4 linked regions of the Saccharomyces cerevisiae S288C genome follow. The gene in region 1 interacts genetically with each later gene. Each region holds a gene or a part of one and is shown in the gene's direction. Other genes may lie near its edges.

Region 1 (4,743 bases):
CCATTTCTTTTAAAGTTGGCCTGTGAAGTAAGGGCATGGCAGGATTGGGTAATTGATTGAGGGGTGGCGTTCCTTTCGACTCTTTATTATTGTCCCTCCAAGATTTAGCGAGTTTCTTAACATCTATTTCCACTGAGTCTGAAATGCAGTGGCATTTTCCAGCTTTCTTCCCAATCGGTAGCCACTCCTCCAAAGCAAAGTTGACGGATTCTGCCAAGTTATATCCATAATTGAACCCTGCATGGTAACCATAGGGATAAGTGATCATGAATTCGCCTTCATGGTGGACAATTTCATTGCATCGTATGCCATTTTCCTGCAGCAGTTTGGGCGAAGCCAAAAACATTTTATGTCTTAAAAATTCAGGACAATTTTTGGCTTCTTCGGGAAATTGCTCCTGCATGAATTTGTAGAATTTGAACCTATCCTCTTGCGGTATCGAATACCACTGTTTTGGGGCACCGAAATGAATATAATTTATGGAATACAGGTCCTGATCTTCCAAGTGCCAAGAAAAAGAAGCCTTCCATAGACCAGCGTATAGATAGGAGTCATTCACCCCAGGAACCTTTGTTTCCATATGGTCCAAGATGTTCGGTAGTTTGGCAACATTCCAAACGTTCAGCCCTTCAGGAAAGATTGATCCTGGTGTATCTGCGCCGTACATAGGCGTAGTAAAATTTAGCGTTTTCCAATAATACTCTTCCAAGAACTTTAATCTCTCCGTATTTTGGAAGTCAGATAAATCTATTGTATACTCCGTCCTGAACTGTTCAAAATCATCAATATTAAAAGACGATTCAAAATTTTTCAGTTTCAACTTCGTGGATTTGGAAACGGAGCCTTTCCTAGAATTACGTCTTGCTTTAGGATCCTCCGGAGGCACATAGTCCTTAGAAAGATCTTTCCACTGTATAATGTTATAGGTCTTGTTTTTCTCCACGTTCTGCACCATAAAAAGACCTTTATTACCAGAAATATGCTGCTGAATAGGTGATTTAATCTTGATCTTTTGGAGCGTTTCCGCAGAATAAGGCAGATCTAATTTGTCTTTCCATTCTTTAGGTGGGATTACTTTCACAACACCACTTTTCATGCCATATTTGTTTATGGCCTTGCAGTATGCATAGAAATCTTCGAATTGCTCGTATGTGGGTTTGAAGACGGGCACTCCGCCCACGATTTCTGAAGGAGCGATTAGTTTCGTCATGATTTCACGCAACTGAATATCCTCACCAAGACAGTCTTATTCTTTTTTTCCCTTTTTTTTATCTGTTTATTTTTCTCCAGCAGATCTATAAAATAAGTGGTACTAATAGAAAGGTTAAGTCCCCCTATTTTAAAATAATGCTGATAGAATGATTAAATTGGCCGCTTGATGAAAACCGCAAGTAGCTACTTCAGGGACAAGCAACGCCTTCGATGCGAATATATGTTTTGCTGATAACGATCTATGTACAGCGTCTGCAATTCTCTTAAAATTATCGCCTTGCCATTGTTACTTAAGGAGTCTATGTGATTAATTGCATGGCGATGAGGTTACCCTTGAAAAATATAGAAAAGATTTTTCCGAATAAAAAGAAAGTAAAACTAAAAAAAAAAAAAAAATGGAAAAAGAAAAAGAAACGTTTAGGGGAGAGGAGGGCTGCGGTTAAGGCTTATGGGGTGTATGGGCGGGGGAAATAGGGCATACTTTCTCGATTCACCAAACCCTTAGGTCATCTGATTTTTAGGGTTGTGTTCTTGTCGTTACTCAGCCCTAAAAAACATTCGTTAGGGTTGAAAAGTTGAAAAATGAATCGCAAAAATCTACCATATTAACAATGTACTAAAGGAAACTACATAATACATCGCAACGCTTCCCTCGAGATTAATTCGTATCCGTGGGTTATAAGGGCTTTTTTTGTGTATGCTACGGTCTACTATATCTCTACTGATGAATAGTGCTGCTCAGAAAACGATGACGAATTCTAATTTTGTTCTAAATGCACCCAAAATCACCTTAACCAAAGTGGAACAGAACATCTGTAACTTGCTGAACGATTATACAGACTTGTACAATCAAAAGTACCACAATAAGCCTGAGCCATTGACTCTTCGGATCACGGGCGGATGGGTGCGTGACAAGCTTCTGGGACAAGGTTCTCACGACTTGGATATTGCCATCAATGTGATGTCAGGTGAGCAATTTGCTACTGGTTTGAACGAGTATTTGCAACAACATTACGCCAAATATGGAGCCAAGCCTCATAATATCCACAAGATTGACAAGAATCCCGAGAAATCCAAGCATCTGGAAACTGCCACTACTAAGCTCTTTGGCGTTGAAGTGGATTTTGTCAATTTAAGATCTGAAAAGTATACTGAACTTTCCAGGATACCTAAAGTGTGCTTTGGCACACCCGAGGAAGACGCTTTAAGAAGGGATGCTACATTGAACGCTCTTTTCTATAACATTCATAAAGGTGAAGTGGAAGATTTCACCAAGAGAGGTCTGCAAGATCTAAAAGATGGCGTTCTCCGTACTCCGCTTCCTGCAAAACAAACATTTTTGGATGATCCCTTGAGGGTTTTGAGGTTGATCCGTTTTGCTTCTAGATTCAACTTTACCATAGATCCGGAAGTGATGGCTGAAATGGGCGATCCTCAGATTAATGTTGCATTCAATTCAAAAATTTCTAGAGAGCGAGTTGGTGTGGAGATGGAGAAAATATTAGTAGGACCAACCCCTTTATTGGCTTTGCAGCTGATTCAAAGGGCTCATCTTGAAAATGTTATCTTTTTTTGGCATAATGATAGCTCCGTCGTAAAATTCAACGAAGAGAATTGTCAAGATATGGACAAAATTAATCATGTATACAATGATAACATACTAAACTCACACTTGAAAAGTTTTATTGAATTATATCCAATGTTTTTAGAGAAGCTTCCTATCTTAAGGGAAAAAATTGGTCGTTCGCCAGGATTTCAGCAAAATTTTATATTGAGTGCGATCCTGTCCCCCATGGCTAATTTACAAATAATCGGGAACCCAAAGAAGAAAATTAACAACCTGGTTTCGGTGACAGAAAGCATTGTGAAGGAAGGATTGAAGCTGAGTAAAAATGATGCAGCAGTTATTGCCAAGACCGTAGATTCAATATGTTCATATGAGGAAATACTTGCTAAGTTTGCAGATCGTTCCCAGCTAAAAAAATCCGAAATCGGTATATTTCTACGGAACTTTAATGGCGAATGGGAAACAGCACATTTTGCATCTCTATCAGATGCATTTTTAAAGATTCCCAAGCTTGAAACTAAAAAAATTGAATTACTTTTCCAAAATTACAATGAATTTTATTCTTACATATTTGACAATAATTTGAATAATTGTCATGAACTAAAACCAATAGTGGACGGAAAACAAATGGCAAAACTACTTCAAATGAAGCCAGGTCCATGGCTGGGTAAAATTAATAACGAAGCGATTAGGTGGCAGTTTGATAATCCTACAGGGACTGATCAAGAATTAATAACTCATTTAAAAGCCATACTACCAAAATACCTGTAGTAGCTTATTAGTATACATAAGACATGTAGAACAAGAATGCATAAATAACTTTCTGTTACCTTATTGAAAAGAAAAAAATAAAAAAAATGAAAACGAAAATGAAATAATATCTCTAGTAGTTATTCTATGGTGTATGATAACTAAACATATTTATTAGTTTTTATATACTCTATTCAAAATTTTTTACCAGTTTTTAACTTTTTCGAAAGATATCTGTTACTATTTTTGAACTTTTTTTTTTTTTTTTCATTCCTTTTTTAGTTGCTATTATCAAAATAAAAAGACTGTAAATTATTATCAATGTCGTTATTTGCAATTGGTGCTGCATTTTGATTATTTGAGTTTTCCACAGATGAGTTCGCCTGATACTGTGGAACGAAAGTATGACCATCGTAAAAATTTCTTTCACTGTTGTTTGAAACGTTTGAGCCCATCAGGTCGCCTAATGAAACAGTTGCTGAAGTATCCGGAGATATATTTCCAATGTATGTATCCGCAGACTTGGGTTCATTCATGTTGATGGCGCTGTTGCTGTTGTTATTGCTGTGGCCCATCTCACCTAGTAGCTTCGATTGCTCATGGAAAAACGACTCTGGGTTTTCAAAATCGAACTCGGTATACACTTGCAAATTAGTCTTTGTTGTATCAACATTGTTTGGTGTTGAGCCACTGTAAGAAACGCGATTTCCGGTATTATTATTGGATTCTGATCGAGAAGCGTGTTTCCATTGAGATCTAATAAAATGATCGAGGTTTGCATCACTCAATCCCAATCCCGTATTTACCAATGTATACTTATCTTGATCTTGAAAGTAGTTTCCGGTCGCGTTGCTTGTTGTAGTGGATATTGAGTTCGTCATAACAGAATCTACGATGCTGCTACTAGTTGTACTACCGTGTGGCATCAAAGAGTTAAAATCTAAACTGTCATCCTTTCTGTGAGTATCCATCCCCATAATATCCCTTCTTTGGAAGTGTGCCGTATTCGGAATATCTTGTACTAGGACATCCTCTTCTTCATTTTCTTCTAACGTGGATCTAGGTATACCTTTTAGTGCCGGTATATTCTCCATTGGAGTATTGAAAGCAGAGAATTCCCCACTAGCGTCGTTTTCGTTACTGTATTCTTTGTCAAATGAGGAAAAATTGCTAGATGGGCGATAACTTGTAACAGTACTGGTACTTGGAACAAA
Region 2 (3,541 bases), on another chromosome or scaffold:
ACATCATGGGCTAACAAGTAGGTATCGGTGGCTACATGTCTCAATCTTATATGCTGGTTCAATAGAACAGCTTGTCCTTTACCGACATCACTGCCATGGGGTGGTAACACTTCCCATTGATTGTTGAAGTCAGGATGCGTGTAACCAGTAACTTGTTGACCAGCGGATGAGATACGACCATCTTCATACCGTTGTGGGTAACGTGCCAAGTGAGAATGTAAGAATGCGTCAGTATCTTGATGTTTGATAGTGATAATATCAAAATAATTGACGGTTTTAGAGTCAACACTTAAGGGAGAGTCCTTAAGTGTTTCTTGAAATTCAGCAGACATAAATGCGTCGCCAGGACCTGAAGTATTCAAAACGGTGAAATGAACCCAGAACCAAAACAAGTAAATCACAAATGGAATCAAAACTAAACCATTCAGCCTTTTACTAAAATGTCTCATGAACTGCCTCAAGGACAAACCCGCCTTGATGTCCAGTAATTGCCATAAGTTGACCACAGCAGCAAAACCAATAGCGGAATATGTCATAACACCAACATATTTTGTGGAAATCACGAAGGATAAAGACAAACCAGTAGCGTGTAACCAAATATACCAACTCCATGTAAAAGGTTGACGCAATTGGCACTTGTAGAAACGAACGTAACAATACATAGTAGCAGCAATAGAAATAATCAAGATGGCATCCAGTAAAATCAGCCTAGTTTCTGTAACATGCGCAGTATCGATTGCAACCAAGAGAGATGCAAACGCACATGTAATAGCCCTGAAATTCAGTTCCTTCAAAGTGTTGAACATAATTGGTACAGTCAATGTGCCCAATATCGCGTTGAAAGAACGGTACGCGATATATGGAGCTGGATGAGTTTCATAAGAATACCCAATCTCATCAAACTTAAAGGAACCATCATAGCCACATAACCAACCAATGAAGGCAATCATCATCTTAGCAAAAGGGGGATGAACGTCAAAGAAATAAGACCTTTCTAAGTAATACGATGCAAATTTCCCGAAATGTACCTCATCAAAAACAACTTCTTTTGGATACCAGATCTTATAAAATCTAGCAGCAAACGCTAATAAGGTAACAATTGTTACCCAAAAGCTATAACGTGATTCCGGTTCCGGTAGTGGCTGCAAGAGCCAATGTTCAGCAACTTGTTCACATTTAGGCGCGGCCTTCGTGTACTTCAACGAAGGATCGTCTACGTCCTTAGTGGAAGGTGGTAACTTCCCATGGTTACGTTTTTTGGGCACAGACATCTGTACTTCTGTGGACTGTCAGAAAATATCTTGGTAAAATATGTATCGACAAACTTCTTAGTACAGTTAATATAGAAGTAAGGATTCGAGTGAGTAGTTTTGATAAAGCGCGTTTCATTATGCATATTTTTCATTTTTTATTTTTTTTGTCAAGAAATACACGAATAACATCACGAAATTTATCGACAGAATAATGGAAGAAACTATTTAAAAAGACGGTAGAGACTAAAAAAGGAAAGAAAGGACAAGTAGGAAGATCAGCGTACGATGAAAAGCATTTTCAAGGTTAGAGGATGTGTATCGCATGCTGCTCAATTTTGCCAAAAAAGAACCGTGGTGAGTACCGGCACTAGTAACACCGCAACAGCCGGTGCAGTGAGGAAAAGTTTCAACAGTACCGAAACCAAGCCTGTATTTGCAACAAAATCGGAAGCTGGCAATGGAAGCCACATGAAGGAATATTCAAGCGGCATTAACTCTAAACTCGGCGGGACCCCTTTGGAAACCCGCAGCACCGCCGATGATTCTTTGAACAATAGTTATAAGCAAGTCAAGGGAGACATTGACTGGTATACTTCATGGTATGGCCTAGGTATGAAGCCCTTTGAAGCAAAAGTGCAAAAGGATCTAATCGAGCCTCTGGACCCTAAGGATATAGAAATCAAGCCAGATGGTTTGATATACTTGCCTGAAATTAAATACCGTAGAATACTGAACAAAGCTTTTGGCGCAGGCGGTTGGGGGCTAGTGCCAAGATCACAAACAATAGTGACATCCAAGCTGGTCACTAGGGAGTACGGTCTTATTTGCCATGGTCAATTGATCAGTGTGGCAAGAGGCGAACAAGACTATTTCAACGAAGCCGGCATACCAACTGCTACAGAAGGTTGCAAAAGTAATGCATTAATGAGGTGTTGCAAAGATCTCGGCGTCGGTTCTGAATTATGGGACCCTGTTTTCATAAAGAAATTCAAAGTGGATCATTGTACTGAGAAGTTTGTGGAACATGTTACCACCAAGAGAAAGAAGAAAATTTGGTTAAGAAAGGACAGACAAGTTGAATATCCTTATAAATAGTCAATATGCGAACCATATAAGCTAATTTTAGTAAGTATATATATTCCAATACAATCACACACACACACACACACACACACACACACACATACGCATATATTGTGGTAGTGCGTAGTGTCAGTACGTCTTATCATACGCCTTCTATTTCAGGGTTAGCGTATTTTTACTATCAATATTACAATACGGATATATATACACACACCTAATATATATATTATACGTTATATTACTGCCAGTCGAAAAAGGAAGATACGATGTATTATTTTAAAATTCAATTTCTAATAAACATTAATGGAGATATACAAAAGAAGAAAATAATTAAGTTGTTATGAAATTTATAAACCTTGTTGAGCTCTTCTTCTGTCACGTTCTTCAGCAATAGACAACTTGATACCCTTACCCTTTGGCAAAGAAATGTAAGGCTTACCTTGTTCACCGATGACGAAGACATTGTTCAATCTAGTGACGAAAGTGTTGTCCAAGGAGTCCTTGATGTGAACTAAATCGAAACCACCATCGTGTCTTTCCTTGTGAACGATAGTACCGATACGACCCAAGTTACGACCACCAGTAACGTAAACCAACTTACCGGCATCGAACTTGATGAAATCAGTAATCTTACCAGAGGCCAAGTCGATCTTAACAGTGTCATTGACCTTGATGTTTGGGTCTGGGTATCTGATAGTTCTACCATCGTGGGTAACAACGTATGGAACACCCTTCTTACCTAATTGAACCTTCTTGACCTTACCCAACTTGTAAGAAGCTTCTTCATCGGTGATACGGTGGACAGCGAATCTACCCTTGACATCGTAGACCAATCTGAAGTTTTCATTGGTGGCATCTAGAGTGATGACATCCATGAAACCAGCTGGGTAGGTAGTGTCGGTTCTAACCTTACCGTCCACTTTAACGTGACGTTGCATCAAGATAGCCTTGACTTCACGGCCGTTCAAAGCATACTTTAATCTGTTTCTTAGAAAGACAATCAATGGCAAGGATTCACGCAATTTGTGTGGACCAGCAGATGGTCTTGGGGCGTAACAACCGGACAACTTGTCCAATAACCAGTGGTGTGGAGCTGCTAATCTTTTTAGATGCTTCTTTCTGTACGGAAAAAAATGAGAAAAAAGGGCAAAAATGAATGTATAATGAAGATACAGACATTTTATTTTTTTCATTGTGCTCGTTAG
Region 3 (3,585 bases), on another chromosome or scaffold:
TTTTAAACGAGGCATGCATCTTTATAGATTCCGTATGCGAAGGTATTGTTTTCTGGGGCCTTTGTCTATTCGTATGCGCAGAATGTGGGAATGCCTATTATAGGGGTGCCAGAGTGCCTTATAAAACCCTTTTCCGTGCCTTTGAAGTTTCCGTTTTCGGTCAAAAAGAATATCCGAATTTTAGATTTGGACCCTCGTACAGATTCTTATGTTTAAGCCCATATTCAATTTGCTGTAAACAGCCTCCAATGGAAGAGGTAATACTATATTATCCCTCTCCTGATAGTTTAATTAAAAATAGAAAACGTGTATTGGGAGTCGCTTATTTGTAGAGTTTGTAGTTTTTAAGCGTTCTCAGGAAATTCATTGACGCAATTACGTAATTGTAGGCCGCTGAGAAGCAGCTAGTATTGGAAGAGCCGCGTATGGTAAAAAAAAAATGTTGAGTTCAGTTTGTAGCAGTACTACAACTCTGTGCGGTGGGAAAAATTTATTCTTCGAGGCACAGTATTTTTCTTCTAGCTAGATATAAAGAAAAGTGAAAAAGGCAATATATGGCGCTAATGTATTTTATTCAATTAAAAACTTTCTGTAGGAAATGGTATTAATAGTTGGTATTCCTTGTAGACAAAACCATCGCTATATTCATGGTGACGGCTCATCTCTAAAGCTTCTTAAATGTACAGTCAGCTAAGTGTTCTCATAAGAAAGGGTTTGAAGAAGTCTCCGATAGCGTGCTTTAGTATGTTGACGAAAGAAATCAAGATCTAGCTTATATGTCATAATGAAGTAAGTTATATTGGAGTTTTTCTGGTAAATTCTACAAAAGTTATGCAACATACTTATTTCTGTCCTCTTCTTACTCGTCTTGCGGCCAAAACTCGAAGAAAAACATACGGGCCAAGAAAAATGATGCAATCCTCCCAGTTCTAGATATTCCCGCTTTTAAGTCCCGAATTATAACAATATAAAAAGGATATAGAAAATGTAATTGTTAACTTGTGGTATAAAGACAAATTCAAAAGCAAGTGAGGGCCCGCTAAGGCTATGAGTTCAGAATTATTAATATCTAATTCTAAACCAAGACCAGAAGGATTAAGAAAATTATGCGAAGGTGAGACAGTGATCCTTCCAAGGGACATAACCCCCAGCAAATGCGCTTATTTCTTAAAACAGAATATCGTATTCATTTCATATATTTTCATCCATATTATTATTACCATAATCTTAAACCGCCTGGCATTATCTGCACACGGTAATACTTTGATTATTATCTTAGCGGCTTTACTAATTACAATTTCACTATTCCTTTTACTCCTCTTACCTTACTTAAGCTGCTCAAGATATAAGTTAAGATGTTTAGATGATGATTGTAAGTTCAAACTATTAGCGGAAGTCATTACACATAAACCTAACATGGACTTGAGCACATGGGACCGGATTGCATATGACATGAACCAATTTGTATATGACCGTCGTATATGTGCAGATAGATCTTTTTTCTACGATGGCAGTTATTGCTATCAGGTTTTTAAAAAGTTGGTGGCTACCCCGTACCTTGTGAATTCCAATATGAATAGTATATATGCTGATCTGGAGATGAGAAGTAATGGAGCAACCAACATTAACGATTCTGGTAATAGTTCATTACACATCGAATTGGGCACTTATATTTTTAAAGCATTGGCCGTTTTCAGGAACTCTGTTGACAAGTACTGGGAGGATAAGTATCCAGAGATGGGGGTCACAGTTTGATTGGAAGGTATTTCTAGGTTCTACTTTAGTTTTTTATAACGCATCCAGTACAAAGAAATGATATTGGTATTTGGAAAAGTCATTGAATATTCTTGAATAGATTATAAGTGAGCTTCCTTTCTGTATCAGGATATGTGGCTTAACTTTAAACTCGTATAATAAAAGTACTCGTATTTTTGTGGGATGTTTGCCTCCGTAAATTTATAAATGGCAACAGGAACACTATTATAATGTAATGTTACAATATTACTTTTACTGTATAAGTTTAATGCTTTATAAAACTAGATGGCAGCTTCTAAGTTGTGGCTTGTGTCGGAGGTTCAAGCTGTCCTCCAAGTTCAGCGCAGCGATTATTTGCAAATTATCTACGTAAGGACTATATAAACGTTTCGATGCCCTCTCTTCACATCTTTTGTGTCGAACCTCGAACATCGAGCATGCATTGTCCATTTTTGAGCCAGTTTCTGCTTATTCTCGTATTTCAACAATAATGTTGTTGCATAATGTACGCACACTTTGTGCGGCATTTTATAGCTTACAGATACAGATGAATTTACGAGCTGTATAAAAGAACTACAAGGAAGTTGTAACTGCAAAAAAATGTCACCGGGACGATATCATCACAAATATGGAGGGCCGCAAAAGTGAAGATGAAAAGAACGAAGCCGCTTTAGCCTGTGATGTCTTTGAATCCTCCAATGCCAAACTACCAAAGAATGTATTCAGAAGTTCCTTTACTTGGTATTGCTATGAAGTTATCAATAGGTCAGCATTCCATATTTGGTTATTGTTATGTTTAACGCTCATTGTTGGTTGGAAGGTTTTTTCAGGCATCGGTGGTAGAAGACCATCTGACTCAAACATGGACGGCCCCCAAACCAAACATAAACGGAATCCAGGTTTTTTGAGGCGTCATTCGACCATCGTTATCTTAGTTATATCTTTAGCAGTGTCTTTCTCATGGGAAGCTTTCAAAATGTATCGTGAACGCACCTTCGGGAAACAAATCACTCAGTTTGCCAAAGAAATTATTAAAAGTGCGCCAAGCACAGATATGGAAAGCTGGGACCGTGTTGCAGCGGATTTTAACTCTTATATGTACGAAAATAAACTTTGGAACACAGAATACTTTTTTTGTTGATGGTTCTAGCTGCCATGTAGCATTTAGGAGAACCCTTCTATGGATTTCCTCAAGAATTGACGGCGACTATAAAATAGAATATTTTAGGAAACACCCTTATATTGAAGAAGCCCTTAAAGTATATTTTGCAGAAGTGGATAGAAAGTGGAATTTAAATACTTCTCAGCAATTGTTAAGCAATATTTCGGTTGGAAATATCAAACTTCCTGGTCAATCATGTCGTTTCAAATTATTTCATATTTTCAAGAAAGTCATGAAACAGCGTTTTTCTCAAGTAGCAACTGTTATATTCTTCGTCATGAGTATCCGTTCTCCAAGAAATCTCGGCTTTTTTTTTACTCTTGCCCTTTTTGTCGTACTTGTTTGCTCCCAGGAATGGTTCTCCTTTGAAATGAATAGATCTTGTTCAATGAAAGTGGAACATAGAATGCAATTTTTGTCAACTATAATCAGTGAACATCAGAAATCGGATGTGAATTGTTGGGACCAAATCGCAAAGAAGATGAATGTATACTTATTTGAGCAGAAAGTTTCCGGCTCAGACGTGTTTTTCTTAGATGGAGCAGATTGTGAGCGCTTTTTCGAACGTAATTTCCTCCGTTATCTACCCTCAAGAAAGTCTTCCCATCCTGACCTACCAATTGCTGAATTGTTGCCGTATATCAGAAAAGCCGACATTGCCTGTGCTG
Region 4 (3,971 bases), on another chromosome or scaffold:
GAATCTGAAGACAGTGAATGGAACGATATTTTAAGAGCGAAGGGTGTAATACCAGAACGTGCACCTTCGCCCACTGCAAAGTTAGAAGAAGCATTAGAAGAAGCAATTGCCAAGCAGCATGAAAATAGACTAGAAGATAAAGACTTGTCGGATTTGGAAGAACTAGAAGACGATGAAGATGAAGATTTCTTGGAAGCTTACAAGATCAAAAGATTAAATGAAATCCGCAAATTACAGGAACGTTCCAAATTTGGAGAAGTTTTCCACATTAACAAACCTGAATACAACAAAGAGGTTACTTTGGCCAGTCAGGGAAAGAAATATGAAGGTGCACAAACCAATGACAATGGTGAAGAGGATGACGGTGGTGTCTACGTATTCGTTCATCTCTCGCTTCAAAGTAAACTACAAAGCAGAATTCTGTCTCATCTTTTCCAATCTGCTGCATGCAAATTCAGAGAAATAAAATTTGTAGAAATACCTGCCAATAGAGCAATTGAAAACTATCCCGAATCCAATTGCCCGACATTAATTGTATATTACCGGGGTGAGGTAATCAAAAACATGATAACGCTACTAGAACTGGGTGGTAATAATTCCAAGATGGAAGACTTTGAAGATTTTATGGTAAAAGTTGGCGCTGTTGCAGAAGGAGACAACAGACTGATAATGAACCGAGACGATGAAGAATCCAGGGAAGAGAGAAAATTGCATTACGGTGAAAAAAAATCGATCAGGTCAGGTATTAGAGGAAAATTTAATGTCGGCATAGGTGGAAATGATGATGGCAACATTAATGATGATGATGATGGATTTTTTGACTAAATAGTGCGAATATTCCTTATTTACAGGCTAAGTGGTGTCACTATCCCCATTATTTAATATATACAGATATAAAGAACAGCAAACTTTGTCATGTACTTCTCTGAATGTTTACGCGAGGATTACGGTATGTATGATTGAACATCGCTGCAGCATGGATTTTAGTAAGAGCCGTTGTCATGGCAACCAATTAAAGCTCTTTAATTACCGTCAAGCATACTTAGGATACAGATACAATAAAACCCCTTATTAAGTTCGAGCAGGCACATCTTGACAGAATAAACCTTTTAAATCGTCATATGGAGCATGGTCTGGTATCAAGTTTTACTACTTTTTCGCTTTGTTGTCAGAGGATAGAAATTTACTTTTTCTAGTTGTGCGTATAAAGAACACTATGGATGCAGTAATACAGAAAGTAATCTGTTCTACTTCGGTGCATTTTCAAACTGAATTCTACCACAAACCCCAGAATTATTATTATGAGTGAAAAGAAGAAAGTTCTAATGCTACATGGTTTTGTCCAATCCGATAAGATATTTTCTGCGAAGACTGGAGGATTACGAAAGAATTTGAAGAAGTTAGGTTACGATTTATACTATCCTTGCGCCCCACATTCAATTGATAAAAAAGCGTTATTCCAATCAGAGTCAGAAAAGGGTAGAGATGCTGCGAAGGAATTCAACACCTCAGCGACTAGTGATGAAGTATACGGGTGGTTCTTTAGAAATCCCGAATCTTTCAATTCCTTTCAAATAGATCAAAAGGTGTTTAACTATTTACGTAACTACGTGCTAGAAAATGGACCATTTGATGGTGTCATTGGATTCAGCCAAGGTGCAGGTCTTGGGGGCTACTTAGTCACTGACTTTAACAGAATATTAAATCTTACTGATGAACAACAGCCCGCTTTAAAATTTTTTATTTCATTTAGTGGATTCAAATTAGAAGATCAATCCTACCAGAAAGAATATCATAGGATTATCCAGGTGCCCTCTCTACATGTAAGGGGGGAGTTAGATGAAGTTGTAGCAGAATCTAGAATCATGGCATTGTACGAGTCATGGCCCGATAACAAAAGGACATTGTTGGTTCATCCTGGAGCCCATTTTGTCCCAAACTCGAAACCATTCGTATCCCAAGTTTGCAATTGGATCCAAGGAATTACTAGCAAAGAGGGTCAAGAGCATAATGCCCAACCTGAAGTAGATCGGAAACAATTTGACAAACCTCAATTGGAAGATGATTTGTTAGATATGATCGATTCCTTGGGTAAATTGTAATTCGATAATTGATATTTATATGAGCTACATACAATTTTTATAAAACTATTGAAAATATCGACGAGAAAAAGGAATAGTGTGACTTTTCTGCCGCCTTCTTTGACGTTTGATTTTCTATACCTGATTTATATCTGTTGCTAAAGAAAGAATTTTCGCGGCACACGAATGATATATATTTAACGTAAGGATTTCTTTTATCTGGCGGAAGTATCTCAATATATTAATATTAAACGCTGTTGAACACTATCCTAGGAACACTGACAGCTAGAAGTGATCATAAGACATTGCATATAAAATAACTATTAATTTTAATTAAAAGAATTTAATTAGAACAACAGGAAGGTGTTATAAGAAAGTGCGAATGAGTACAAATACGGAAATCATAAAAAATAGTGATTTGCAAAGTTTAATCAATGATAAGAGGAGGTTAATAAATGAAATAAAAGACTTTAATAAATCCATTAAACCCTTGGAGTTTGAATCGTATCAGGATTATTTCCTGATAAAAACGTTCAAAAAAGGAATATCTGCAAGTGGCCATGTGGATATTGACAGTTTAAGAAATAAAGAATATGGAATATACTACAAGAAAATCAAGAGGAACTCTACACAAGAAGTCGGCGAACCAATCCCTCGCAACACATCCTCCTCCTCCTCTTCTACTAGATCAAACTCATCAGCTGATATCAGCGATACAGAATATTCAGGTGAGAACACTCCTACAACTACTGGTGCTGCCAGTCGAAGAAGACGTACGAGATCTCGAGCTATTCAAAGAGAAAATAGTCTACCAGCATCTTTACCCTCAATTAGTGAAGCGAATGCAAACAATGATGATGTTACTATTTCTGAAATAAATGGAAGTGAATTGCCATTTCCAATTCCAATATCAGAAGTGGAAAATATTGACATTGCTTCAGATATAACTGAAAGGGATGGTATTAGAAGGAGATCATCAAGGATATCAGAAAGAGACAAAAGACGTTCACAGTCTAGACTGGGGTCAGAAGAAGATGAAGAAGGCGACGGACATGACGGAGATGAAGGGGAGACCAAAATCCAAGACCTATATGAGAGTTTGGTACCCAAAATTTTGGAGTCACGTAGAAGGTCTGATTGGATCCTCCCTCCTAAGGCAAGATATACACCAGAAAAGCAAATGAGGACCAAACCGTCATTCAAGAGCATAAAGATTAATGAACTTGTCGGGAATAAAAGAATACGAAGTATATTATCTAGATTTGAAGGTGGTGTAGCGGGTATACGCAAAAGAGATTGGGACTCTACCCAATAGCTTCTTTGAAGAAGTAAATAAATATAAATAGAGAGAAATATGACGTATCAATATTATTTATGGCGCTGGTATAATTCAATAGCATCTAATAGCGACTTGGGGTCCGGTTTTGGACTGACCACATCAGAGGTTACATCATTATCATCCAGATATTTTTTAGTGGTAGGTCCGATGGACGCAACCCGTAGATGGGAACCTGGTAGGCGGTTACTGTCACCCAAATACTGAGTAATTTCTTTCGTTCCCTGGGGACTGAAAACTACCACCCAGTCCGAGAATACTTCATCCTCATCGCATTCTTTCATGGCGTGTATGAATCTTTTAAAACCGTCGCTTAATTCTTCAGTTTTATAAGTAACCACTTCTCTTACTTTTATTCCCTTGCTATGGAGTTTCTTTGGGATGATATCTCTTCTAATTTCACCCACGAGAAATAATAGTTCACTTGGTGGGCATGCCTTAATATCCGTACTCAAGTCATCAATAATTATATCAGCAAGGATTGAACCATTACCAGCGTCTTCTCCACCTTTAACATTAATGAAACCTGATCTTCTGATGAAGTTAGCAGTAGC

The links.
Region 2: mutations in CCA1 (region 1) and MGM101 together harm fitness more than expected from each alone (negative genetic interaction), as found in Saccharomyces cerevisiae (one large-scale study listed by BioGRID).
Region 3: mutations in CCA1 (region 1) and ECM34 together harm fitness more than expected from each alone (negative genetic interaction), as found in Saccharomyces cerevisiae (one large-scale study listed by BioGRID).
Region 4: mutations in CCA1 (region 1) and RFM1 together harm fitness more than expected from each alone (negative genetic interaction), as found in Saccharomyces cerevisiae (one large-scale study listed by BioGRID).

What each region holds. Positions count from the first base shown.
Region 1 is NC_001137.3:519,836-524,578, reverse strand, and holds CCA1 (tRNA adenylyltransferase), read left to right. Parts: upstream 1-1,909; coding exon 1,910-3,550; downstream 3,551-4,743. Other genes in the region: RPH1 (Rph1p), read right to left, coding at 1-1,210; BCK2 (Bck2p), read right to left, coding at 3,808-4,743. UniProt on the Saccharomyces cerevisiae protein: Nucleotidyltransferase that catalyzes the addition and repair of the essential 3'-terminal CCA sequence in tRNAs, which is necessary for the attachment of amino acids to the 3' terminus of tRNA molecules, using CTP and ATP as substrates. tRNA 3'-terminal CCA addition is required both for tRNA processing and repair.
Region 2 is NC_001142.9:699,344-702,884, forward strand, and holds MGM101 (Mgm101p), read left to right. Parts: upstream 1-1,538; coding exon 1,539-2,348; downstream 2,349-3,541. Other genes in the region: PMT4 (dolichyl-phosphate-mannose-protein mannosyltransferase), read right to left, coding at 1-1,271; 40S ribosomal protein eS4 RPS4A, read right to left, coding at 2,684-3,455. UniProt on the Saccharomyces cerevisiae protein: Performs an essential function in the repair of oxidatively damaged mtDNA that is required for the maintenance of the mitochondrial genome. Binds to DNA.
Region 3 is NC_001140.6:12,518-16,102, forward strand, and holds ECM34 (Ecm34p), read left to right. Parts: upstream 1-2,383; coding exon 2,384-2,896; downstream 2,897-3,585. Other genes in the region: PXP3 (Pxp3p), read left to right, coding at 1-332; DFP4 (DUP240 family protein), read left to right, coding at 1,048-1,755; YHL042W (uncharacterized protein), read left to right, coding at 3,150-3,585. UniProt on the Saccharomyces cerevisiae protein: May be involved in cell wall organization and biogenesis.
Region 4 is NC_001147.6:843,123-847,093, reverse strand, and holds RFM1 (Rfm1p), read left to right. Parts: upstream 1-2,463; coding exon 2,464-3,396; downstream 3,397-3,971. Other genes in the region: PLP2 (Plp2p), read left to right, coding at 1-825; FSH3 (putative serine hydrolase), read left to right, coding at 1,302-2,102; uroporphyrinogen-III synthase HEM4, read right to left, coding at 3,450-3,971. UniProt on the Saccharomyces cerevisiae protein: Tethering factor required for histone deacetylase HST1-mediated repression. Probably involved in targeting HST1 to a subset of SUM1-regulated genes.